4 linked regions of the Solanum lycopersicum genome follow. Each later gene encodes a partner of the first gene's protein in a complex. Links are inferred from orthologs where the notes say so. Each region holds a gene or a part of one and is shown in the gene's direction. Other genes may lie near its edges. The genes, in order: mitotic checkpoint serine/threonine-protein kinase BUB1, mitotic spindle checkpoint protein BUBR1, mitotic spindle checkpoint protein MAD2 and mitotic spindle checkpoint protein MAD1.

Region 1 (6,203 bases):
TAATGACGGGATATAAACGCCGATGAGCAAGTGAGGTTAGGATGGACAATAACGATATAAATTTTTTAGATACGTGCATATACATATATATATATATATATATATATATATTATATTTGCAATTGTTTAGAAGTACCAATACAAAGAGTAATAAGTGAATAAAATACGTTACATTACTAATTCTAAAGCTTGCACTATATTACAGGTCGGACCCACTAGTCACTTATCATTTTTAATTTCTTTTGTTAATTGAAATAAAGGAAGAGATTACCAAAAATTAAAAAAAGAAGATTAATAGAGATTGTTGAATTGGGTAGGGGTGTGCATCGGTCGGTTCGGTTCGATTTTATGTGTTATCAATTTCGTTTATCGGTTTTCGATTTTTAAATATGCTAAACCAATAACAAACCAATAAGATATTCTTTATCGATCTTTTATTATTATCAATTTAGTTTTCGGTTTACCTTTACCCAATAAAAATTTCCGTAAAATATTATATCTCTTTTCATTTCTCTAAATGTTTTGATATGGTGAAACAAGAGAGATAATGAGAAATGCATCAATAAGAGAAAATATAATATGAATGTTATAATTACATGTTACCATCAAAACATATTATGAAATTTTTTTATGTTAATCAGTTTACGGACCTTTACAAACTTGCAAATTGCTACAAGCTACGATCACAAACTAAAACAAAAAATAGTCTAACAAGACTAAAATTAAAATCAAATAACTACAATTGTAAACCTTTTACTTTAATATTTAGATTTTGAGTAAACAGTAAAAACTAGTAAAGCGGTCTAGCGTGAAGTTGGTAGAATACTAATAATTTGATATAGTTATAGTGTCTAATAATATATTAAATAATTAAAAAGGGTAAAATTATAAATTGTTACCATACCCAATAACCCAATAGTAAAAATCAATACCAAATTAATTACCCAATAATTTTTTAATAAACCCACTAAAAATTTAATAACCTTATTATCCAATAATATTTTTTTCAATTTAATTTATCGATCAATTTAATTTTTACACACACCTAATATTCCTAATATTGGGTTTCATATAATTTAACGATAATTGATACAAATCAAATTAATCAATCATTGTTGAAACAAAGCCACATGTACATTAAAGCATCGTTGTCTTGAGGATAGAATATTAATTAATTAATTATGAAGTTATAACTAACAAAGTGTGATTTGATTAATTTTATACGCACATCATGTGAAAAAGTTTTGGTTAAAACTATCGTTGAAGTATGAGCTAAACCTAAAGTACATCCTTATATTATATAAGTGAACAAAAAATATTCTTGAACTATTTAAAGAGTTGCAAGATTCATCCTTTTATCTGATTTAAGAAATTAACATTGCCAACAAAAAAAGTATCAAGTCGAATGAATATATGTGCAAGGTTATGCTAGTCAAATTAGGTGATTTTTTATTTTAGGAATTGAGAATTTAAATCATATTTAGACAAAATACATTCAAATTCTAAATATTCTTTGTAAAAATATAGGCAAATACTACTCTAACTTCAAAATTTTTAAATAAAGTAATTTTTTTTTTATTTTCATAACAAAATGCCTATTTCGCTAAATTTTAAGCATTTTTGTGCATTATTTAAAATGTAAATTGGTATTTGGTTGTAGATATATTAGATACGTTCTAAATATTTTATTAAAAAAAATCTCTAAATATTTGGACGTAATATTTTTGAAATGATTTTTTTTTAAAAAATAATCTTTCTAACCATTGAAATTTGAGAGTATTATTGATGCAAGTCAATTTACTTGATGATGCAAAAAAATATATAAATTAACAACACTCAAATTTAGATTCTGAAAATTGAAGATTCATCTTCTATCTATATTCTTATTTTTCTTTTAGCTAACTTTGATGTTTTCGTCGTGGTCAAAACATGATCAATTAAATTATTTTTTTATTGATTCTATCATTTTCTTAATAAAAATATACTGAGGGACGATTCCTGCTATTTTTTTTTTGAATATTATAAGAATGTATTTTGTTTACTTATATAATATAAGGATGTTGGAGAAATATTTTAGTCCGAAACTCACAACAAAATTCAAATACATTGTATTCCCGCCCGTTTCATCTCCCTGAACCAGTAGGACAATTTTTCATTTTCCGGCGAGTGAGGCTGAATCAGATGGCAATGGCCGTCATTTCAAAAAATCAAAGCAATACAACTAGCTCCGACGACCCGTTATTGCCTTGGTTATGGTACCTTTTTATCTTATTTTCTCCCAAAATTTGCATTTGTACTCGTTCAATTGTTTATGTTATGCCCTAATTCGTAGGTCAATTGAGAAATCACTGAAAGAGCGAACGTCAATTGATGGAAGAGATCTGCATGAGCTTTGCTCGAACTGCATCAGTACCTTTAAGAACAATCCTCGGTACCGAAACGACGTCAGATTTCTCAAGATTTGGTTCCTATATGTAATAAATCCTATCTCCCTTTTGTTTTTCCTGTATTGATTTCTTTATGTATATGTTTAACCTAGTGATGTGAAGTGTTTGGGCAAAGGTATATTTGGGATTTTGAGTTAATTGGTGTAGAGTGTACACTACTTTCGTGATAAAGATGCACTTTGTATACAAGTGATGTGAAATGTTTGTTGCTTTATCTGATCTAGTGGTCGCTTGTGTTTCAGATGGATAGCAGTTCGAATCACGAAAGCATATATAGAGAAATTGAGCAGAATAAGATTTGTCTGTTCAATTCTTTGCTTTACGAGACATATGCGTTATTCCTAGAGGCAAAAGGGAGGTTAATTGATGCATTTCTCATTTACCATTTGGGAATTTCAAGGTTACATATTCTCTTTTGTAGGATCATAATTCTTTATGCATGTCAGCACATGTCTGCGTTTGTATTATATGACATTAAATTCATGAACTTTGGACTCTGGTTTTAGGAATGCTGAGCCTTTGGGCAGATTGAAGAAGGCACAAGTGTTGTTTCTTGAGAGAATGTCTGAGAAAGTAACAGCTGGTTCATTACAGAAGGTATGTTTGGTTCTTTTTCAGAATCTGTGCCAACTGGGACAAGGTGTGATAATGTTATAAGTGTAGAGTTAGGTCTTTGGAATTGGTGATGCTGGATTCAGTAATCAAGCTATTACCTAGAAAGGAACTGCTGAACTTCAATGAGATAAATCATTTATCTTGGCTTAAATGCATAAAGGACATTTTAAGGCTTCATGCTTGGATTTTCTTGTTATGCAGATTAGGACCAAATCTCTGACATCTATTCAGCTATCTGCATTTCCAGCTTTCTTAGTTCTTGTTCAATCCATACTGCATAAATGAAACATAGATAGTGATGTGAATATCAGTTTTTTCTGCTTCCAGCTAAAAATATAATGCTAACTCTTAATATTCCAGACAAGTAGATTTGGTCGGTTGATGAGTTCCATTTAGTTGATAGCTCATATGATATATCAAATGATCAATGAATGTGATATAACAATTAACCATCAGAGCTTTGACCTAGATGACAGAAGGGAATGGTTTCATTTATAGAGTTCTAGTCGCCTATCAATATCGTGTAGCTTCAATAAATTCCATCATCACTATGCCATCTGATAAAAAAGGAACATTTAGGACCATCTGATAAATTGAAAACTCAGCTTCTAAAAAGTCTTAAGACTTAATAGACACCCAAAAGGCTAAAGCTACTTAAAAGTATTGAGATATTAACCACCTTGTTGGAATCTTACCAGTATTGGTAAGTTGAGCATTTTTACATTTGAAATTTGAGCCCTAATGATTTTAAATTATATAATGTGTTTTCTGGTAACTTTAAGTATCTGCAGACTTCTCAAATCTGCAATGTCATATGTTGTTAGAATATGTTCATTATCAGAGAGTCAACAAGTGCTGATAAAGCAAGTCAAGTGTTGACTTTTGTCACGATGAATATTTAGCATCCATTTTATGATTGTCTTGCTCTTTAGTAATTAGTCAAGTTTATTTGTCAAAGAATTTCTATGTTTGCTTTCAGACACCCTATTACATCATACAACACATTCTAATTTCAGTGCCAAGAATGTTATTAGTCATATTTAATCTATTCTTTACCCAAAGTTAACACCCTTTAGATCTGTCAAGTTTCTAACATCCAGATAAGCTGGCCTAAAATCTTCAAGTTGAATATCAAGTGGTAAGATTGTAGGATAGTCACTGTACTTCATTTCCGTTGGGAGCCTTCAAGTTCATTTGCCCATTTCGTTGATTCTATTTACATGCATAATTAATTTCATGTTGCCTCTAGGCTATCTTTGTTGCTTATCACAGTCTTTTCTTTCAAACTGTGAGATTCTGATGTACCAGAGTTCTACAATCTCTTTTCATTTTCTCTTGTTTTGGAATACTTATGGACTATTTATCATGTTGTCTGTTATTTCAATTCTTACTCTTTTATTCCATGTGTTTAGTTGACACAGGATTATATTATTGATTTATTTATGCATCATCACGTAGATGGACATTGTGTCGGAGAATGGTGGATCTTGTGTCAATCCATGGGTGATCTCAACAATTAAAAATCTGTTGCAGAAGAAGAATACTGAGATAATAAGATATGATGTGAGATTGCTCAGAAGCATTTAATGAAACTATTTTACATGTTAACAGCAATTCGTGATAGCTACATGTGAACTTTCATCAGGGATACCATCCAAGCAAAAAGGCGTATTCAGGAAAGGTAGCACTGTCAACTTTGCAGAAATCTGCCAGGAATAAAACTATTGATATAGGTAAAAATTCTTGTTTCTTAGTCTATAATGGCTACATAGTATTCGATGCTCACTGACAGTTGCAGAGATTAAGATGACGGCAAAGTTGGGACTGGTCTTGGCCCTTGGGGCAACACATCTTCTAAATGTCCTGCAGTGACCATGGAGGACTGAGGTCTCTTGGGACTAGTACCTTGATACTTGGGTCTGACCCGCAATATATACACTAGTATTTTATGCCTTGGTTTGTTTAGCATGTATGCCCTTCACAATTACCCCTTGAATTGTTTTCTCTAGACGCTCTTGAAAATTTTAAACAAACATCACCTAATTCAGACACATCATAAGTTTGAATTGGATATACATATATTTTTCATAACTTTCCCCCATCTTTTCTTCCCTCACAATTTTTTGTGTGATTAAAGGTGGTATGGATATTATTAAGCTCTTTTAAATGAGATGCTTACTGGGTATCTATTAGATAATAAAAAGAGAGCCAGAGGAGTGTTATCGAATGTTATCACTAGATGTAGAGAGCTCATTCATTCCTTATGGTATCTGTTGTAGTTTGGTGGATATCAACTCCAGTAGGGAGAGGTGGCAGAGGCCTAAATCCACCCCCATCAACTTGAAGAGTGAAAGCATGGTGCCTAAGAGTTACTTATTGCACTTTCTGCTTTACAACAATAACAACATTCTCAGTGTAATCACACAAGTGGGGTCTAGGGAGGGTAGAGTGTATGCAGACCTTATCTTTACCTCGTGGAGATAGAGAGACTGTTTTCGGAAGATCCTCGGCCCAATTGCACTTTCTGCCTTAAATTTTGGAAATGGAATTTTATGATAAAATCTGATGAATTCAGTTGTCTATAGACATGAACATGAACTTGGTGTGCTGTCAGCTAAATGTGTCTCATCGTGGAATGGTTTCAGGTGGATACAGCTATCAGATCAAGGGATGTGCAGGTCAGGGAGGATTTGCTCAAGTATTTAAAGCATGTTGTGATGGTAATCCAGATGAGGTTGTCGCACTTAAGGTGAAATAATAGTTTATCCTTATTTCCCTTCATGAGGAATTCTGACACTGGAAATGTCCTCACGTTTCTTTTTTATATTATTGATCTCTGCAGATTCAAAAGCCAGCTTTCCCGTGGGAATTCTACATTTATCGTCAACTGGATATGAGAATTCCTGAAAAAGAAGTATGTAGTATGGAAAATAGACTATATATTGGTGTATGCTGGTTAGGAAAATGGTACTGATTTGTTTTATTCTTATTCACCAGAGGTTAAGCTTTGGGTATGCCCACAGATTGCATCTATATTCGGACTACAGCATACTTGTTTCTGACTTCCTGGCTAATGGCACACTTCAGGTAGGTGTCTGTTGATCTTTCACCTTCAACTTGAATGATATGATTCCCTGACTT
Region 2 (6,300 bases), on another chromosome or scaffold:
TTAACTGTAATCATTCTAAATTGGAGAGAAATACAGTAGACAAGTCCAAGTACAACAAGAGTGAAATCCTAATAATTAATTAATTAATGGTCATAGGTGCGGCACTCGTCGGCGTCAGGGTTATTTTGACAGTAAGGTTCAAGGGGATCTTGATTAAGCTGAAGCTTGATGCGCAAATGCACCTTAGCCTAGCTAACTTCTTCCACCTCATCCCATGCCACCTTGCACTCGTCCGATCTGGCGTCTTCACTGCATACCTCCTTAGCTTCCTTCACTTTCTTCTCTATCATTTCCGTCAGCTGTTTTTCTCTCATCTGCGTCCCCTTATACTTTGGTACTCCTGCTGATCCACTCATCATCATCATCACCTTTTGCACTCCTTTCCTCCTGGATCCAGTTACACTAGCAACATGAATTGGGAATATAGATGCCTGCTTCAAGTTCAAAGCCATCACAATTATTTATTATAGATGACTTTTTTCGGATGTCTGTTGATTTCTGGTGGAAAAAAAAATGTACAGATTTCTTGTGAAATTATAACGAACAATATAATCTCATATCTCTATCACAATCAGGGCATCATTTAGTACTGCTCAACTAACATAAAACGACATCGTCTGGTATTTCTCGGTTTGGAGATAAGGTTCCATCTTCAGCTTGGGGCCCATGGGAACAGTTCTTCCACCTTTGCCTTTTTCTCTTCTCCTCTCCTCTCCTGGGTGGACTTTCAGTTTTATCAAATTTTGCTTTGATTTTTTTAGTTTTTAGTTTTTACAAAAACGTGCATCTATTTCAAATCAATTCTTTTACATGTTCTAAAAAATTAATTAATTTTTATATAATCTTACAAAATGAGCAAATTGTTATTTATACACGTGTGTTATAGAGATGGCAATGGGATTGGATGTGTGTGCCGAGGGGTATGTTTATGGCTATGTTTATGGTTTTAAGGTTGTGTGGTGCGGTTAGATGTGGAGCTGATTGAAGTAGGCTTTTTAAAAATTAATGTGGAGTGGGACGGGTTGCAAGTATATGTAATTTTATGTGAATTCAAACTTATTTTTAGTTTTTACATGTTATAAGAGTGATAGAACATTATTTATTAAGATAATTTCTTTTAAGCTACTAAAATATTTAAAATAATAAATAAAAATGGTTTAATAAAAATAATAAAATTTCTTACCAATTTCCCAGTTGACCTCTTAAAAATAATTTTTAGGCCAACTACATAAACAAATCCCTAAACTTGTTGGGTTTTTCCCCTCATGTACCTCAACTACGTCATTTTTCAATTGAATCATTCAACCACCCATAATTTGTTTCTTTAAAACACTGTTGGTTGATTTTGATCAGCTTTTCTATTGTAAATGTCTTCAATTGTGTTCGAATTGTAATAATTTTGATTGAAGGAATGAAGACTAACTGTGTTAGTCTCATTTGTTTTCTAATGTGTTCAAATGACTCAAGTAAAACATAATTATTCTCAAACATTTTCACTTTCAATTGGACTAATTATTTGTGGAACAACATATGTATCCTCTATCAATACCCCTCACAAATCTGATTTCACATCAGACAACAGTGTTTGATTAAACAGAACAAATTATGGGAGTTCAATTATTCAATAGGAAAATGACGTAGTTAAGGTACCTGAGGAAAAAAACCTAACAAGTTTAGGGATCTGCTTCTGTATTTGGCCTAAATTTTAAATTACTATCCTATTAAATTAATACAACTTAATGAAAAGATAAATTTATTTTTATGAATTTTATCTTAGTATCAAATATAATTAGAAAAAGAAAATATTAAAAAAATTATGGGAGGCAGGTTGAAAATGAAAAGAGTTGTCATGCAGGGCGCGGCGAGGCGCGGCAGATTAAAATTTTTGCGGGTTAAGCTCAACCCGCAACACCCCACCCTACACCACCGCATTGCCATCTCTAATGTATTTTTAATAACTTAATCTTTGTATTTTTTAAAAAATAAATGTTTGAAATTATAAATTTGTATTATTTTTATAATTAACCACTAGTCAATAAATAATATTGATTAATTATTATTTTAACGAAAAAGACTCATAAATATTCATAAACTATCTGAAATAACTCATATTTACGTTTAAACTATATTTCAGTTCAAAACTATCCTTCCCATAATACTATTGGGTCAAAAATATATTTCTTATTAACGGAATTTGTTAAATGTCATGTGGATGTCACATTCCATGTCAATTTGGTTCTACTGCCACATAGAATAAATGGAAAAGGGGTAAAAAATACCCTTAAACTATTCGAAATAGCTCATATTTATCCTTAAACTATATTTCGGCTCAAAACTATCATTCCCGTCAAACTATTAGATTAAAAATATCTTCTTATTGATGAAAATTGTTAAATATTATGTGAATATCAGATTGATTGCAAATAAGATTTCATTGTCACATAAACTAAATCTCTAAATTTGAATTAAATTGAATTAAATATTTTACTAATAGGTCATATTATTAATTTCCGGGTAAATTCCAACGGTCTAAATTCGATGTACTTGGCCCACTTTGTTGTTTGTAGTAGCGCACTCGTTAAAAAACATTACTTATCTTATATTCAATCATGGTGGGACCAATAATATTGCGAAAATCTGGAATTTAAAGGAGGGTCCAACGGCTATGAAAGGAAGGGTTTAGGGCACAAAACAATTTCAAATTTGAAAGAAGGCTCTCAAAAAAACACCACCACAAGGAAGCAGCAAGAAGAAGAAATGGAGAAGGTAGGAGGAGATTACGTATTGGATAAGGAGGCAGAGTTCTTAGCGTCGAAGCAAGAGACTGGTCACGAGTGGGAACTCTTCAAGGAAAATGTCAGACCTTTGAAGAGAGGACGCAACGTTAATCTTCTCAATAATGCTCTTAAGTCTAGTACCGATTATCAACTCAAGAAATCTCTTCTTGACAAACGAAGGTTCCTCTATTTCTTCTTCTTTGCATTTTCATGACATTTACTCCTGAGGTTGGTCCAAAATGCAATTACTATTCCATCCCGCACTAGATTTTGATTAAGATGTACACGCTAGTTGTAGAATAGTAGCAGTTGCTGCATCCCTTATTAATTTTTGAATTCAACTCTTTCTGATTAGGGAATTTATTGAAGCAATTGACAAGTACAAAGGTGAAGATCCTCTTCACCCATGGCTCCAGTGAGTGCTCTTCTTTTCAGATGCAAATAATTTTTCAACTCTTATATCTTCTACTAGCATTTAATGAGTCAATCTCTGTTATTGAATAAACTGCTGACATAATTTTACATTAAAATTGTGAAGGTGCATCAAGTGGGTGCAAGAGGCTTTCCCTCCCGGTGGGGACAGTTCTGGACTTATAGTTATTTATGAACAATGTGTCCGCACCTTTTGGCACGATGAACTATATAAGAATGACCTCCGTTACTTGAAAGTGTGGCTGGAATATGTGAGTTTGATTTCTCCACATCCATTCTTTTGCCCCTAAATCTTCTCATCATGCAATTTGGTAAATCAGTTTTCTTATTGATGGCTCTTTGCAGGCTGAAAATTGTATGGATGCTGAAGTCATTTATAGCTTTCTGGAGGCTAACAAAATTGGACTGACACATTCTTCATTCTACATAGCCTATGCTTTGCACATGGAATCTCAAAATAAAATTAAAACAGCAAACGAGATCTTCAATCGGGGGCTATCTATGTAAGTTGTGTTTCCATTGAGCCTTGGTTTAATTTTAGCCGTAAAGTTAGGTTCTTGCATAGTTAACATTGTGTTTCACTTCACACTAGGCAAGTGAACACGTCTTGGTTCCAGAGAAGTTATGCTATATGTTGTCTATGATGTGAGATGCATCATTCAAATGGTTTATTGAATTGCTGTCTGATATTTTTGTTCAAATAGCGTTTGATATGTCAAGTCTAATGATGTCTACGAAAGTTGCATTAATTGTATGCTAGTATTGAGTAATGTGTGGGGGCTGGGGGGGGGGGGGGGAGGGGATTTATGTTTGAAGCTTCGCCAAAATGAGTTCAGTGTTAAGTATGAAGCTGCACGGATAAGTATGTGGTGTCCCCTTCATATTGACCTACTAATTTTCATACCTTGAATACTAAGACAATTTCATTTGATAAGCTCAGAGGTCAGAACTGTGGTAGATTACATTGCTTACGGTCCCTTATTTTATGTTCTTTCAATATATGCTCATGTGACCGAATAATAAACTAAAGGCCGTGATCGTATGACAGTGGTATGCTTCTAGAAAACTTTATAATTATTAATTGCCATATGATGAACATATTTGATATCCTTATTAAGGAAATTTTGTATAAGCCGAGTAATATGATTATGAAGAACTACATGTATCTTTTTGAATTATGAAATGATTGGTTCCTTTATAGGCATCAATTGAATCAGATAGTACCATGTCACACAATTATGTTAAGCATTTGTACAGGATGAACAACAGAGACGTTATCATTGAGAAATTTGTGCTCTGGAATTAATCATTTATTTAGCTAATATAGATATTTCAGGTATGGCAGCATGCAAAATAGCCAGTGCCACTGTTCATTGAACTTTGCTTAATTACACAACCTAATCATGTTGTTTGTAACTTGTATAGCATGATTTTCTACTAAGAGCATTTCATGCCTTCAAAACAGCAAGTCTCTGTATGTGTTTCTAATAAAATGCTCTAGCTATCAACTGTTGACATAAGAATATATTGAAATATTTATTTCTTGTTCACATTTGCCTCATTCTTGAGGGACCTTTTATATTCTCTCTCTACTTGTTTTAACTTCTGATGGGGATGTGAATGCTATGATGCTGGCCAAACTTGCTGGCAGAATAATGCTACAGCAAGGTGAAAATTCTAATATATTTGGCATGATATTATTGTGGATGCTCAATTGGTTTTAGATATTACCTGACACCTAAATACCTTTGGGGGTAGTTTGGTTGTTGGATAGAGTTGTGCAGGTATTAGTTATGTAGGGTTCAATTATTTACGTATTACTAATTCATGTATTAGTTATACCATCTTCAAAGCTGCATAAAATAATACATAGATTGACGCCTAACTAGTACATGTTTTAGTTATGTGAGATTGTAAACCGTAAGCAAAAAACCATACTTGATGTGCTGAGTTTTATACATAGCAACTAAAATGCTGCCAAAAATGGTACTAGTTTATGCAGATTTTAATATATGAATAATCTAACCAACAACTAAACGACCCCTTGGGCTGCCTCAACAAGATTGTGGATGCTCTTTTTTCAAGCTTTCTTAGCCACTAATGAGTCTTTTCCATTAGAGATACAGTTAATACAAGTACAGAACACTGATTACACCAAGTAACCTTCCTCCTGCTTGTTCTCATCCACTTATAAGCCTATTTACTGACTCCCTCAGCTGGTTTATGATTAAAATTTCCGTCTCCTATGAATCAGGAATGCAGAACCTGAAGAGAAATTGAAAGTATCCTACAAGAAGTTTTTCAGTCGTTCAATGGGTCGCCCCAAAGCAGCAGAGGTATCAATTATTGTGACGACTTAAGTCCATTGTCGTTTGCTTTGATTTGAATTTGTGACGATTTGTATTTCAGGAGGAGATAACAGAACACCAGCTTCCAATGAGAAGCTTTGGCACACTGTTGGCTAGGGGGGAAGCTCGTAAGTGCATTTCTATGTCGTAGCTTCAGGGTGTCTGCTTGCTTTGGTTAACATTGTTTTTGCCTTTGCAGGAAACCAAACAACAGGAACTTCTGAATTGTCCCGGAAGAAAATGAAACCAGATAGGTAAGTGTGAGTCACTATTGTTTTCTCCCAAGTTACGTTCTTGTGTCCCTGCATTTTTCATAGTAACACCATGAGTTAAACAAATCTATGTCGTTATTACTTGTTCTTATCATCACATAGTTAAGCTGCTATGTCAGGCAAGAGATCTGATTCTGATGAGTTCTTGTTTTAAATACCTTAAATCCTTTGCAATGTGGAAAAGAACTTTTTGTTGTTATTGCTGCCTATTCCATAACTTGAAGGAAAAGGAGTGTAAGGATGCTGATAACAAGGTTGCAGGAAATACTTACCTTTTTGCATGCCCAGTTCTAGTAGAAACACTGGCTCATTTTTATCTATTTTGCAGAGCTCAGGGGAGCCTATTTTCCATTTACAAAGATGCAAATGCCGGAATGTCATCAACTCTTCAATCAGAAATACCAAAGCTAGAGAATACATCATGGCACTGTCTTGGTGCCCGAGCAGATAGGAACAAGGAGAATCAGGCAA
Region 3 (5,755 bases), on another chromosome or scaffold:
GAACATTTTAGGTCGTACTCGTTTATGAAATAAAAACTTATTCCTATAATAATATAGGGGAAGATTGTATGGGATGACAAACATCCCTAAGTAATTATATAATAAGGGAAAGTTTAATTTATTTACTTTCTATAATTATAATTTTTTTATTTTTTTGCCATAATTAATGAGACCCATCACCTTTTTTTATACTAACCGTAAAAAATCTTTTTTGATTTTGTATATAAATTTATACAAATCAATTTTATCTCTCCTATTTCTACTCCACCTCTTTCTCCTATAATCACTCATTCACTCCGATTTTGAAATTCAAATCGGCAAAAATTTCACCTACTCGCTACGGTATTGATTTCATCTTTCACAGGTAACCGCCAAAATTTAGCCGTGAATCAATTTTTATTTTATTTTTTCCTTCTTCAACAATTGTATATATATTGTGCTTCTTAATTTTTTTTATTTTTTTTGTTAAAATAATCGTTCTTTCTCATTAGATTATAAATTCTTCAAAATCAGAATAGATGAATCATCTTCATTTATGAGGACTACCAAATGTATGTCATTGCATGTCAATTTTGTTGACAAATTACTCTCGTTTTTAATGAATTTAACTCAAGATTTTGGGGTCTATCCATATAAGTTCAAGATGAGCAATCAATGGAAGAATTGAGATCCAAGAAAAAAAATGACTCAATGGTAGTTCAAAAAGTTATTAACAACGTCATAGCTAGCGGCATTAAAATTGTCAAAGGAGGAACAAAGAGGAAAGCAATAACCAGTGATTCACAGGAGAGTGAATCTGAAATTGACAGATTCGAAGAACATCAGGATCAGGAGGTAGTGTCTTAAAACACAATTTTAATCAATCAAGATATCTAATAATTCTAATAGTAATCAATCGCGAACATCTTCATCAGATCTTCTTGATTGCATAAAATAATTTTGTATGTAGCAATTTGTATATTTTGATGGTTACATACAAAATTGCTTGAGGTATATGTAAATTTTTTTATGTATTAACAAATCTAAAGAATATCAGGTAATTGTATAAAATAAATTTGTATATAGCGATTTGTATATTTTGGTAGTTATATACAATTTTTTTGAGGTATACGTATATTTATATATATATATATATATATATATATATATATATAAGTACTATATTTATATACATATAATCCTATACATATAGAGTTTATATTTTGATAGTTATATACAAAAAAATATTTGAGGTATAATATGTATATTTCTGTATATTTAAGTACTATATTAATGTACACATAATTATATACATATAGAGTTTATAGTTATATACAACCATATACATATAGAGTTTATAGTTATATACAACCATAAATAGTTCTTATTTATACAAATAGTTTATATGTGTAACGTATATAATTGAAAATATTAATTAATTGTATAAATATTCGATTTACATATTGACATATACTTTTTATCGTTTTCATAGGGATTTATTTTCATTTGCAAATAACCACGAAAATACGCCCCCCACATGCAGTGGTATACATATACAACTCATACATATAACATTACTCGATTTTTTTAACCAACAATTAGAATAGAATTGTTAATATACAATTTGTTTATATTTTTATGACCAAATATAACTACTTGCAATTTTAAAAATTTCAATTATATACTATGCAAATCAATCTTATTCTTTTTCACACTTTAAAACATGAAGTTTTCTTAAAAGAAAAATATACAAGAATATTGACGAACCATGAATTTTTCATTTTATATTTGCTTTTGTGGTACGAGGATAACAATTGTTATGATGTTTGTATTGTTATAGAACTCTTTTTGAAAAAATATTTGATTTGAAAGATTAACTTGAATCATGGGATTATGCAAGTATTTTGTTACCTTATTACCGTTCATGTATCCATTTATTAAGTAGAATATTACATAAATTATGAAAAATTGCACAAGTACCCTCCTATACTATGTCTGAAATCACAGAGAAACACCTTAACTAAATAAGGTCCTATTACCTCCACCCCCTCCCCTTACACTTATTTTTTGTAACTTTGTGCACCTTTTTAGCTTACGTGACATTCAAATATCTCGTACGTGTCTCAATCGCGTGGAGCCACGAAGTGTGCCACATAAGACAAAAAGTGCTCAAAATTACAAAAAAAAAAGTTCAGGGGTAATAGGAAGTTAATTTAATTAAGGTGTGTCTCTAGAATTCCAGTTATAGTCTGGGGATACTTATGCATTTTCCTCATAAATTATAAACAAAAAAAACTTAATATGCAAATTAAATGCTCCATAGCAAACTAAATTATACTCGTAAAATATAATTATATAAGACAAAAAGTGCTCAAAATTACAAAAAAAAAAGTTCAGGGATAATAGGAAGTTAATTTAGTTAAGGTGTGTCTCTAGAATTTCAGTTATAGTCTGGGGATACTTATGTATTTTCCTTATAAATTATAAACAAAAAAAACTTAATATGCAAATTAAATGCTCCATAGCAAACTAAATTATACTCATAAGATATAATTATATAAACTATACTTATATAAGTTATAAATTTTCAGTGTGGCCCAATTTTTGCACTAAACCCATCTGACCGTTGTTTTGTGTCATTTCCAAAAACTAGCCGTTGCTTCTTCCACTATGTTTCTCAATTCTCATAAAAACCCTAAATTCATCTCTGATTCTCTCACAAGCAATCAATCTCCATAACCATTTTTCTACTTCTATTTCCTAATCTGAAAATGGCGTCAAGAACAGCCTCCAAAGACATAATCACACTTCGTGGTTCCGCCGCAATCGTCAGTGAATATTTTGGCTATGCTGCAAACAGGTAACAACTCGGAATTCCTGTTTTTTTCATATCAAATTTTGGTTATGTAGACTTGCACGTTGTTCACATAGTGATCGGATCTCAGATTTAGATAGATTTCACAAAACCCCTAAATTTGCTTTGAAAATTAATTATCAACCTGAAATTCAGCCCAATGAAATTGGGTTTGAGCAGATTAGTAATGAAATTGGATTGAATAGATTTCATCAATCGATACGTTGTTGATTTTCCGATTGATTGAATAAAATGCTTTGTGTTCTTCGTTTATTTACCTGCATTGGACTAAAATGGGCTACAATAGAGCGGATGAATTGATTTATCTGACTGATTCCAATTAGTTTTACGTTGGCCATCGGCCATTGTTGATTGATTAATTCCTTTTATGTTCGTTGTTTATGGTTTTGTCTGAATGCTGATTTTTTTTTTTTGAATTTGTGCGGGGATTATGTATTTAGCATTTTGTACAACAGAGGAGTATATCCTGAAGAAAGTTTTAAGAAAGTGAAGAAATATGGTCTCACAATGTTGCTTACTGAAGATGAAGGTGTCAAGACCTTTGTTTCCAACTTGACTGCCCAACTTGCTGGTAAGTTGTAGAATTTTGACGAGGCTGTAGATTGGTTCAGATCATATATTAGGTAGTGAAATGATTGTTTTCTTAACGATTTTGTTCATGTAGAGTGGTTGGAAACTGGAAAGCTACAAAGGGTGGTTCTTGTCATCATGAGTAAGGCCTCTGGTGAGGTATTAGAAAGGTGGAATTTCAGTATCGAAACTGATAGTGAGGTTGTCCAGAAAGGGTAAGATGTTAATCATCTTTGGTTAATAATTGTGGATTGAAAGAAGTGTATGTTGGAGTTATTATGGCAGAAGACCTATAATTTCGTTCGTGTGCTTAAATAGTCCAGAGCCAAATACTCAACCCTGGCTTGCTTTTGATGTCTTCGTATGTTGGATTGTTTGTTAAATAATTAGCTAAATGGTTTATTTGATTTTCCAGTGTTTCAAGAGAGAAAAGTGATAAAGAAATAATGAGGGAAATTCAAGCGATTATGAGGCAAATAGCGTCCAGCATCACTTATTTGCCGTGCCTTGAGGAACCATGTAAGCATCATTTGTGCTTGGATGTTACGATACAATGGCAATGTTGCTTTTTTGGGATGTTTCTTGATGAGATTTCTTGTTTCATTTGTGTGTATGGCTGTAGGTGTGTTTGATGTGTTAGCATACACTGATATGGATGTTGCAGTTCCATTCACTTGGATTGAGAGTGACCCTAAACTGATTGCGAATCCACAAATGGTGAAACTGCACTCTTTTGACACTAAGGTAGGAGCAATTTGCTGCTTGATTCTGATACGAATCCCCTGGATATTTCGGTGACCCTAACTCGAGTTTTGTTTTCTCTATGCAGATTCATAAGGTTGACACATTGGTTTCATATAAGAATGATGATGAATGGGATGAGTCCTAGACCATGGATCCTTGTTGTACCTTACTTTTGTTGTCATTGTGAATCATTGATTCACATTTTGTATGTTAGATTGTGTAAACCTTGAAACATCTATTAGTTTGTATCCTGAATGAGTATTGAAGGAAATTGAACAATTAGATCAATTTCTCCGTGTGAACATGTTTTTTGCCTTGTGAAATATATTTGGGTACTTTTTTACACGTCCTTGTTGTCTACACATTGCCATAGCACATAATAATGTTGTTTGCGTCGGCTTGGATTTATACGCAACTCAAATTATGTTGAAATTTTGGTTTTTTTCTTTCTTCCGTCTCCCCCAACTACGCAGGCAATTTCTTGAACGGAGAAAATAAATACTTTTTTTGACTTTTGAAATTTGCCTTCAACATTCTCTAAAAAAGAGAGGTAACGGGGGAAGAAGATCAGTGTGCCTTTTTTATTCTTACATACAAAGTTATCATGCCGTTAAAAATAAATAATCAATTAATGTCATGATCTTTTTGTCGAAGTTAACGGATTGCACATAAATTATAGTGTTTTTAGTCTAATAAAATAAGAAAGTAATAAAAAAATTTGGATCCTCATGAATCGGGAAATTTGAACCCGACGTGAATCGAACACGCAACCTTCTGATCTGGAGTCAGACGCGCTACCATTGCGCCACGGATCCTTGGATGGCTAAAGTCTTCCATTTTTGATAGTCATTACATCTCTGTATTATTTTGGGAAGTGGATGAAATAATAACAATAAGAAGAAGAAGAAGAAGAAATAAATCTTTGATGTTATTTTTTTAGTTTTATTTCTGAAATATTTATTATCAGCACAATTGTTTTTTCTTTAAGGATATTTATGATTTGGTTTCAGTCAGTTTTCGTTAAAAGTTAAAATATAAAAACAAACAAATTTAATAAAATTTTAAATTAATAATATCAAAGTAAATATATATAATTTGCATTCATCAATTAGTTATTATTGGTTCAATTTTTCAATGTAATTTTATTAAACATGATATGCATCGTTTTTAATTTTCCCTATAAGAAAAGACCTTTAATCATTTGCTAATTTATAATTTGGTATTAACATTTAATTAGGATGACTATAACATTAAATCTCTACGATTTATAAATTTTATAGTATTTTTTTTGAATTAAATTGATAAGAAATACGAAAATATATATCTAGGTACATCTCACAATAGTTTAATTTTGAATAAATGAGTTTGCATTCGAGTTTATATAAAGTTTATTAACCTTTTAAAGATAAATAATTTTTTCATCAAAAAATATGTGAAATATTTAAATTTATTTTAAAAGGTCATTTAGAGCTGTCTAAGATAGACACTAGCTTAGTGAACCCACTTTAGCTCACTCAGGTCCCGTATCTTGACAAATATTACACCAACTTTTTAGTTTGACAATATATTGAACTTCATGTAGTGGCT
Region 4 (6,269 bases), on another chromosome or scaffold:
TTATTATTTGGGTTAAGAAACACGTTTGTAAACTTATAATCATGTTTATAAATTAAGTTTAATATTGTTTAAGAACTTAAAGATGGTCTAAAAATGATGCTGCTGAAATTGTTAAACACAAAAAATTGAAGTATGATGCATTCATATTGCAATAAATTAAACGTGTTGTAATAAAAAAAATATTTTGTCAAACTAAAAGTTTTAAACTTTTACAAGTCAATGTTATTTTTTTTCTATAAGTTAATATTTTTTTCTTTTTTATTTCATGGTTTTAATTAAGGTGGAGGGTCAATTAGATTTCAAAAATTCTTTATGTCCCATAAATTTCTATGCACGTACATCTGAATTTTTATTTCAAATGTCATTATCATATTAGCTCAAAGACATTAACAAAAATAAAATTAGGAGAAAATTAAGAAATCTTTTTCCCGGGTCTTTAGGGATAATGGAGACAAAAATGGTCAAAAATTTATTAGGAATTATTTTAGTATGGTCTTGAATAATATTTGTAGGTTGATTTTTGAAAAATTATATATTTAATGTTCAATATAGATTCTAATAATTTAGGCAGGTAAAGAAAATAATATATAGTAAAAAACAAAATTTATATAAAAAAAAAAGTAATGTAGTTTCAATTTATTTTTTATTATCATCTCAAAATTAAATGTCAATCATTTTTTATATGATGACTTTATTTCAAAATCGGTATATTATTGGTGTTGGGTTTAATTTCAATAAGCCTAACATCACTGTTCAACATAATATATAACCTATTTTAACAAGAGTATAATATATTAGCATTGAAAAATTACCTATCATTTTCGATAAGTACACTTATAAGTTGAAATAATTTTCTTTAACACTTTTGTAGTGTACAAGTAAATAAAAAAAAAAAGTTTTTAAGCACTTGTTTTATTAGTTAGTCTCATGTGCTTATTTTTAGTGGTTAATTATCTTATGCTTACAACAAGTTAAAGTTTTTGCATAGAATACCTTTGTTTTGGGATGATATTAATTTTTTGTCCATTAAATTTATGGTCTTTAATTTTTGCCTTTATTGTCTATTTAATGAAAATTTGTGGACCTAATAAGTACTTTAAATTGTGACCTAAATTTGTTGGGCAAAACTAATATCACAAAGGCAAATTTTTTTAGAGAGTGTTTAGATTGAAGTATAAATTTTATAATATCTGATATTTGGATTTCTAATTTGAGCCACTGAAGCATAACTTGTGTCTTTGAGTTTTTTTTTTTAATGGGGTCTTGGGATCATAATTTGTGTTACTAAATTATTGTTCTAGGATATAGCTTTAACTGAACTTATATCTCGTTTTTCATTTTTTACGCTCTAAAAAATAAAGGAAATTGTATAAAATAGCAAGTTATTAATTCAAATTAAATGTTGTAAACAAGCTTCGATTTAATTGTGCCCTATAGCAAACTATTGTTATTTTCGCCTCTTTACTTGGTGGATCTCGCTCGCCACTCTCGTTTGGTGGCAGTCTCACTCACCTCTCTTGCTTTTTATACAAACACAAATGTATAAAATGCGTTTGTGTTTGTATAAATCGCCAGGAAATTGTATATATACGTATATTTTCGTTTTCCTCTCTCTCCTCTTCCATATCTCGCTCTCCACTCTCCCATATCTCGCTCGCCACTCTCCCAGATCTCGCTCGCCTCTCTCCTTATACAAACAGAAACGAAATGTATAAATTACGTTTCTGTTTGTATAAAGCGATAGAAAATTGTATATACACGTGTAAATGTATATACACTTATAATTATACAATATAAATATTTTCCTACCCAGCTTTTTTTGCTTTTCTCCATTTCTCGTTTTATACATACACCAATTATATAATTGATCTTTTGTATACAACTGTTTTCTTTTGTATATGTATAACGAATTAACAACTGTTTTGTTTGTATGTGTATAGCAAATTATACATCTGTTTTTTTTTTGTATATGTATAACGAAATATACATATTTATATTTGCTATGGATCTTAATTATGCAAACTATAGCTGTAAGCCTATAATAAGCCAATATGAATTTTATGTTTGTTACACGTGAGTGTTACTCAAAAATAAAGATATTAAATATTACTCCTATTTTGAAGAGCAAAAATTAGTGAGAGGCCCAAAATAAGGACATTTGTGGGAATGACCCAAACAAGTGTAGCAGTAGCCCAAAGGGATTCGGGTCATCTCTGGCGACGGATTATTTGGGTCCGATTCACCAATTGGCGCCTCAGTTTTCGAAACACTTGCAGTAGCTGCTTCGCCTCTTACATTTTCATCAATCGCCATCATCGGAGCTTGATTCAATTACTGTAGAAGTTATCAAAACCCTAGTATTATGATCCTGAGAACACCACCATTCAAGCGAAAGGCGCAGAGCAATCAACCGGAAGATGGAAGTCCCAGCTCCGGCAATCAGCAGCTTGTCATCTTCGAGGATACACCGTTGCCGGAATCATCTCACCATCACCCAGAATCTTCCGAACAAATGCTCTGCACTTATCAATGCCGCCAAATGGTATTCATTCATTAATTCCCACTCTCTTCATTACAATTCCAGTATTGAATTGATTTTTTAGTAAATTCAAGGTTTTAAATCAGTGACTGCAGACATAGTGAGGCTTATACCTATTTTTCTTCTTATGTGGTAGTGGAAATTGCAACTATTTATGTATATATCTTGAGATGAAGATAGTAGGTGCACCCATTCCCTTGACTGTTTCAGTTTTTTCGCTTTGTCCACCTAATGAGATTTTCCCAGACTAAACATGTCTGTGATTTTATTGCTACTGGAGTGCTAATTAATCCATGTTAAGAGAATGGTTTTTCGAACTTGGGTTGATTCCTTGATGAGCTTTATATTCAAAGTTTATTCATATGTTGATAGAATTTGCTCTTAGATGTGTATACCAATTCGTAGTTGATTCTTGAGTCAACTTGAGGCTGAGCTTCTTCACAATGAACTAATCACAAGCAAGATTTTTTTATATAAATTAATTAGAACATTGTTTGCTAGTTTTCTGTATACTACTTGCATACAGGTGTTTTATGCCCTCCATTAACACAATCTACTTCATCTTTTTTGATAACACAAATGTACTTACTTCACTAAAGAACAACTTATAATTGCATCTTAAATGGACTCAAATTGAGCTAATCTTGGTTAGCACATTTGGATAGCGTCACAGAAGATGATGGAAGACCTCTGAGTTAAATAATATATTCCTTTAAGTTAACATTCTTGTGTCTCTTATATTGGCCAATGACCGATCAACGGCTCCCTGTCTATTTATTGTACTCAGTTCTTGTGATAGCCTGCACGAGTTTGCTTATATCTATATAAAACAAATTCTGTTATCAGGTGAAGTCAGAGTTTTTTGATGCCTTAAGCAGTGCAGAAAAGCAAGCTCGTGATAACCAATCGAAACTTGAAGCACTAAACAATGATTATCTTAAAGCTGGTGAGTGATAAATATCCAATTCTGTGAATTATGATAGACTGGGTACATGATTTTGTTTCTCCTTGTCCTTTCAACAAACTTTTTTAAAAGTTTACCTTCTACTGCTCAATTTAATGCACTTTTACACCAGAGAATGAAGATTCTTTGATAGAGACATCTATAGAGCACACTACAATTGTTCCTTGGCTAAGCTAATCTTGTTTGTACAGTTCAATTGCTCCCCTGATTTCAATTGTTAAAAGGCTGTCTTCTTTATTTCAAAATTTATATGTGAGAACTGGCAACTTCACTGAAGTAACTTTCCAACATACACACACGTGTTTACATAAATGGATACAGGCATACATATATAGATACACACAAACATACATCCATTCATACACATATTGGAGTGATATTATTTGTCTTCATATCTTTTGTCTCCTTAATCATGTGTTGACTCCTTTGTAGCAACTGTCATGCCTTTTATTTTTCTTTTGTTAATTTCCTTTGTATTTTTTTCTCTCTGTTCACCACTGACCCTTTACTCCACTGGAGGGATAATGACTATTTGGTTTGTAATTCACCTTTTCTGCAAAGTATACTCCAATACTTATTGATTAATTTGCATGATGACATGAATTACACGTGCAGATGCTGAAAGGAAGAAATTTCGTGATCAATTTCTCAATGCAGAGCAAGAACTAGCTGCTGCTAAAGGGCGTGAAGAGGCTCTGCAGGACCAGCTAATGAAGGAGGTCAACGTTTCTCATGAACGGCTCAGAAAACAGTTGCAGTTGTACAATGAACTTGAGGTGCTAGATGTTAATTGTCATTTCTCATTATATTTATGTCACATTCTTGAGAAGAATTAATGGGTTCTCTTTGGCTGGCATGTTTTTAAGCTGCTGTATGAGTTCATCAATAATTTGGTCTAATCTGTAAATTGAACTTAACTTTAAGGCAATTTGGTTTGGTAAGTGTGATAATTTATGCCTAGGAAGAGACTACACTCTCTTTTTGACAAGGAATTCTTAGACACACAGATGGAAGAGATCAAATGGGAATAAGAAGCAATCTCGCTTTCCTTTTCGATCATTTTGATAGAGGGGGATGACGTAAGGGGACGAAACAAATTAGCATTTCTCATTGAACAAATACAAGAAAAAAATCATATTGAAAACACTCAACCCCTTCCTCTGAATAGCCCGTGTATAAGTGATCTGGAGAGGAAACCCACTTGTGGGACTATATTGGGTATGTTGTTGTTGAGGATAATAAGCAGTTTCCACTTATAAATCACTTTGAATATATATCAAATGAGATCCTTCTTAGATTCTACATCTTGAAACCAAGCCAATTTTTGCACTCTGTGCTCCAAAACAACTGGAGTCATCGCATTTACCCTGCAAAAGTCTTGGAACCAACCAAGACTGAACATGGACTCTGTAAGAAGCGAGTCAGACACTATCTTAATCTGATTAGACTGCATCTTAAACTTTATTACATTTTTTTTCTTTCCAACTGAAATAAAAAGTAGCAGGGACCATAATTTTCAAGTTATAATGATAATGACACTGATTTGTGACTAATAATGTGTACATCTATCTCCTGATAAAAGAAACTGTGTACATCTATCTCATTTGTTGAGGTGTGGTGACTTGGTCCTCAATGCTCAGCACAAGTCATGCTTTGGTCGTAATATTAGAGTTGTTTTCTGTTATTTCTTTCTTTAAGCAACAATTTATAGCAACATGTATACATCAGAGTGTAAATGCATAGGAGGAGATTTACCATTTAACTGCTGAATGAATGGTTGGGGACATACCTCCAGTTATTCATGTTTCTATTGGAGGTTTTCTTTGCTAGCATTTATCAATTCTTGAGGTACTTAATCTGTATAACTTTCTTAACTATCTCCTTCGTGCCATCTGTGATATAATTTGTCTCCCATCTCATTGTCTTCTAGGTGAAGTTCCAAAACGAGATGAATCTTCGTAAAAAAGTTGAGACGTCAGCTGCTGCAGCAGAAGAAAAAGCAAGTCTTTTAGAGAGAAAGCTTAGTAGTGTGTCGGAAAGTATAGAAAGAGAGAAAAGTCGTTTGCAGAATGATCTTGAGCTGCTCAAAAGTGAATCCAAGTTTTCTATCACAAAAATAAGTAACAATGTGAGAATTTGTTCTGTGAAAGCTCTGTCTGAGGTGCAAGGAAATGCTATATCCAACATCTAACATGCTTTCATGCAGCTTGAAAGAATGGAATTCAGAGCTACCAATGCCGAGGAAGAGTCAGTGCTGCTGAAGGAGCAGCTGGAAGAACTAAGGAAGAGACTTGATGAGGTCAATGCATCTTCTATCTTAGAATTACTGCTTTGTTGTCTTAAACATCACTCATGAGTTCGCACAAGCATATGTTGGAGCAAAGAGAGTGGAGGCTTATCTATTCTTTTTCAAATTTTAGATTCTTTTGATGAAGTTATTTTTTGACATTTTAATATGTAATTGCATAAGTTGTTGAATGTCATCAAATGAGATCCTCTATGATGGTCTTGCATGTTTTCTTCTGTCTATTTTCTTTTTGTCATTTGCATCATTTTCTGTCTGTTAGTTTATCATTTTTGGCAATGTTGCATTATAATGAACTTACAATTTTCTTTTGTCTTTTCCCAGTGCATGCAGCAGAAAACTGAAGCAGAGAAGAAACTGTCAAGTTTCACATTTCAAGAAGGTTGTTCTAGTGACAGCAACATTTTGGTGAAGCATTTGCAGGAGGAACTTAGAAGCTATGTAAGTTACATCATCATTTG

The links.
Region 2: mitotic checkpoint serine/threonine-protein kinase BUB1 (region 1) and mitotic spindle checkpoint protein BUBR1 share a complex: the UniProt entries of both Arabidopsis thaliana proteins name them as parts of the mitotic checkpoint complex. The link is inferred for Solanum lycopersicum from reciprocal best matches to the Arabidopsis thaliana genes AT2G20635 and BUBR1.
Region 3: mitotic checkpoint serine/threonine-protein kinase BUB1 (region 1) and mitotic spindle checkpoint protein MAD2 share a complex: the UniProt entries of both Arabidopsis thaliana proteins name them as parts of the mitotic checkpoint complex. The link is inferred for Solanum lycopersicum from reciprocal best matches to the Arabidopsis thaliana genes AT2G20635 and MAD2.
Region 4: mitotic checkpoint serine/threonine-protein kinase BUB1 (region 1) and mitotic spindle checkpoint protein MAD1 share a complex: the UniProt entries of both Arabidopsis thaliana proteins name them as parts of the mitotic checkpoint complex. The link is inferred for Solanum lycopersicum from reciprocal best matches to the Arabidopsis thaliana genes AT2G20635 and MAD1.

What each region holds. Positions count from the first base shown.
Region 1 is NC_090806.1:64,726,554-64,732,756, forward strand, and holds the start of mitotic checkpoint serine/threonine-protein kinase BUB1, read left to right. Parts: upstream 1-2,063; 5' UTR 2,064-2,181; coding exon 2,182-2,255; intron 2,256-2,332; coding exon 2,333-2,474; intron 2,475-2,689; coding exon 2,690-2,847; intron 2,848-2,953; coding exon 2,954-3,044; intron 3,045-4,520; coding exon 4,521-4,625; intron 4,626-4,707; coding exon 4,708-4,795; intron 4,796-5,707; coding exon 5,708-5,811; intron 5,812-5,904; coding exon 5,905-5,976; intron 5,977-6,059; coding exon 6,060-6,149; intron 6,150-6,203. UniProt on the Arabidopsis thaliana protein: Serine/threonine-protein kinase that performs 2 crucial functions during mitosis: it is essential for spindle-assembly checkpoint signaling and for correct chromosome alignment. Has a key role in the assembly of checkpoint proteins at the kinetochore.
Region 2 is NC_090803.1:68,278,544-68,284,843, reverse strand, and holds the start of mitotic spindle checkpoint protein BUBR1, read left to right. Parts: upstream 1-2,566; 5' UTR 2,567-2,757; coding exon 2,758-2,957; intron 2,958-3,132; coding exon 3,133-3,192; intron 3,193-3,315; coding exon 3,316-3,460; intron 3,461-3,554; coding exon 3,555-3,712; intron 3,713-5,463; coding exon 5,464-5,545; intron 5,546-5,618; coding exon 5,619-5,685; intron 5,686-5,756; coding exon 5,757-5,811; intron 5,812-6,157; coding exon 6,158-6,300. UniProt on the Arabidopsis thaliana protein: Essential component of the mitotic checkpoint. Required for normal mitosis progression. The mitotic checkpoint delays anaphase until all chromosomes are properly attached to the mitotic spindle.
Region 3 is NC_090804.1:8,537,131-8,542,885, reverse strand, and holds mitotic spindle checkpoint protein MAD2, read left to right. Parts: upstream 1-2,568; 5' UTR 2,569-2,750; coding exon 2,751-2,839; intron 2,840-3,294; coding exon 3,295-3,425; intron 3,426-3,518; coding exon 3,519-3,639; intron 3,640-3,839; coding exon 3,840-3,943; intron 3,944-4,046; coding exon 4,047-4,168; intron 4,169-4,253; coding exon 4,254-4,313; 3' UTR 4,314-4,513; downstream 4,514-5,755. UniProt on the Arabidopsis thaliana protein: Required for the execution of the mitotic checkpoint which monitors the process of kinetochore-spindle attachment and delays the onset of anaphase when this process is not complete.
Region 4 is NC_090800.1:87,721,158-87,727,426, reverse strand, and holds the start of mitotic spindle checkpoint protein MAD1, read left to right. Parts: upstream 1-2,119; 5' UTR 2,120-2,362; coding exon 2,363-2,542; intron 2,543-3,385; coding exon 3,386-3,485; intron 3,486-4,118; coding exon 4,119-4,279; intron 4,280-5,433; coding exon 5,434-5,631; intron 5,632-5,709; coding exon 5,710-5,802; intron 5,803-6,132; coding exon 6,133-6,249; intron 6,250-6,269. UniProt on the Arabidopsis thaliana protein: Required for the execution of the mitotic checkpoint which monitors the process of kinetochore-spindle attachment and delays the onset of anaphase when this process is not complete.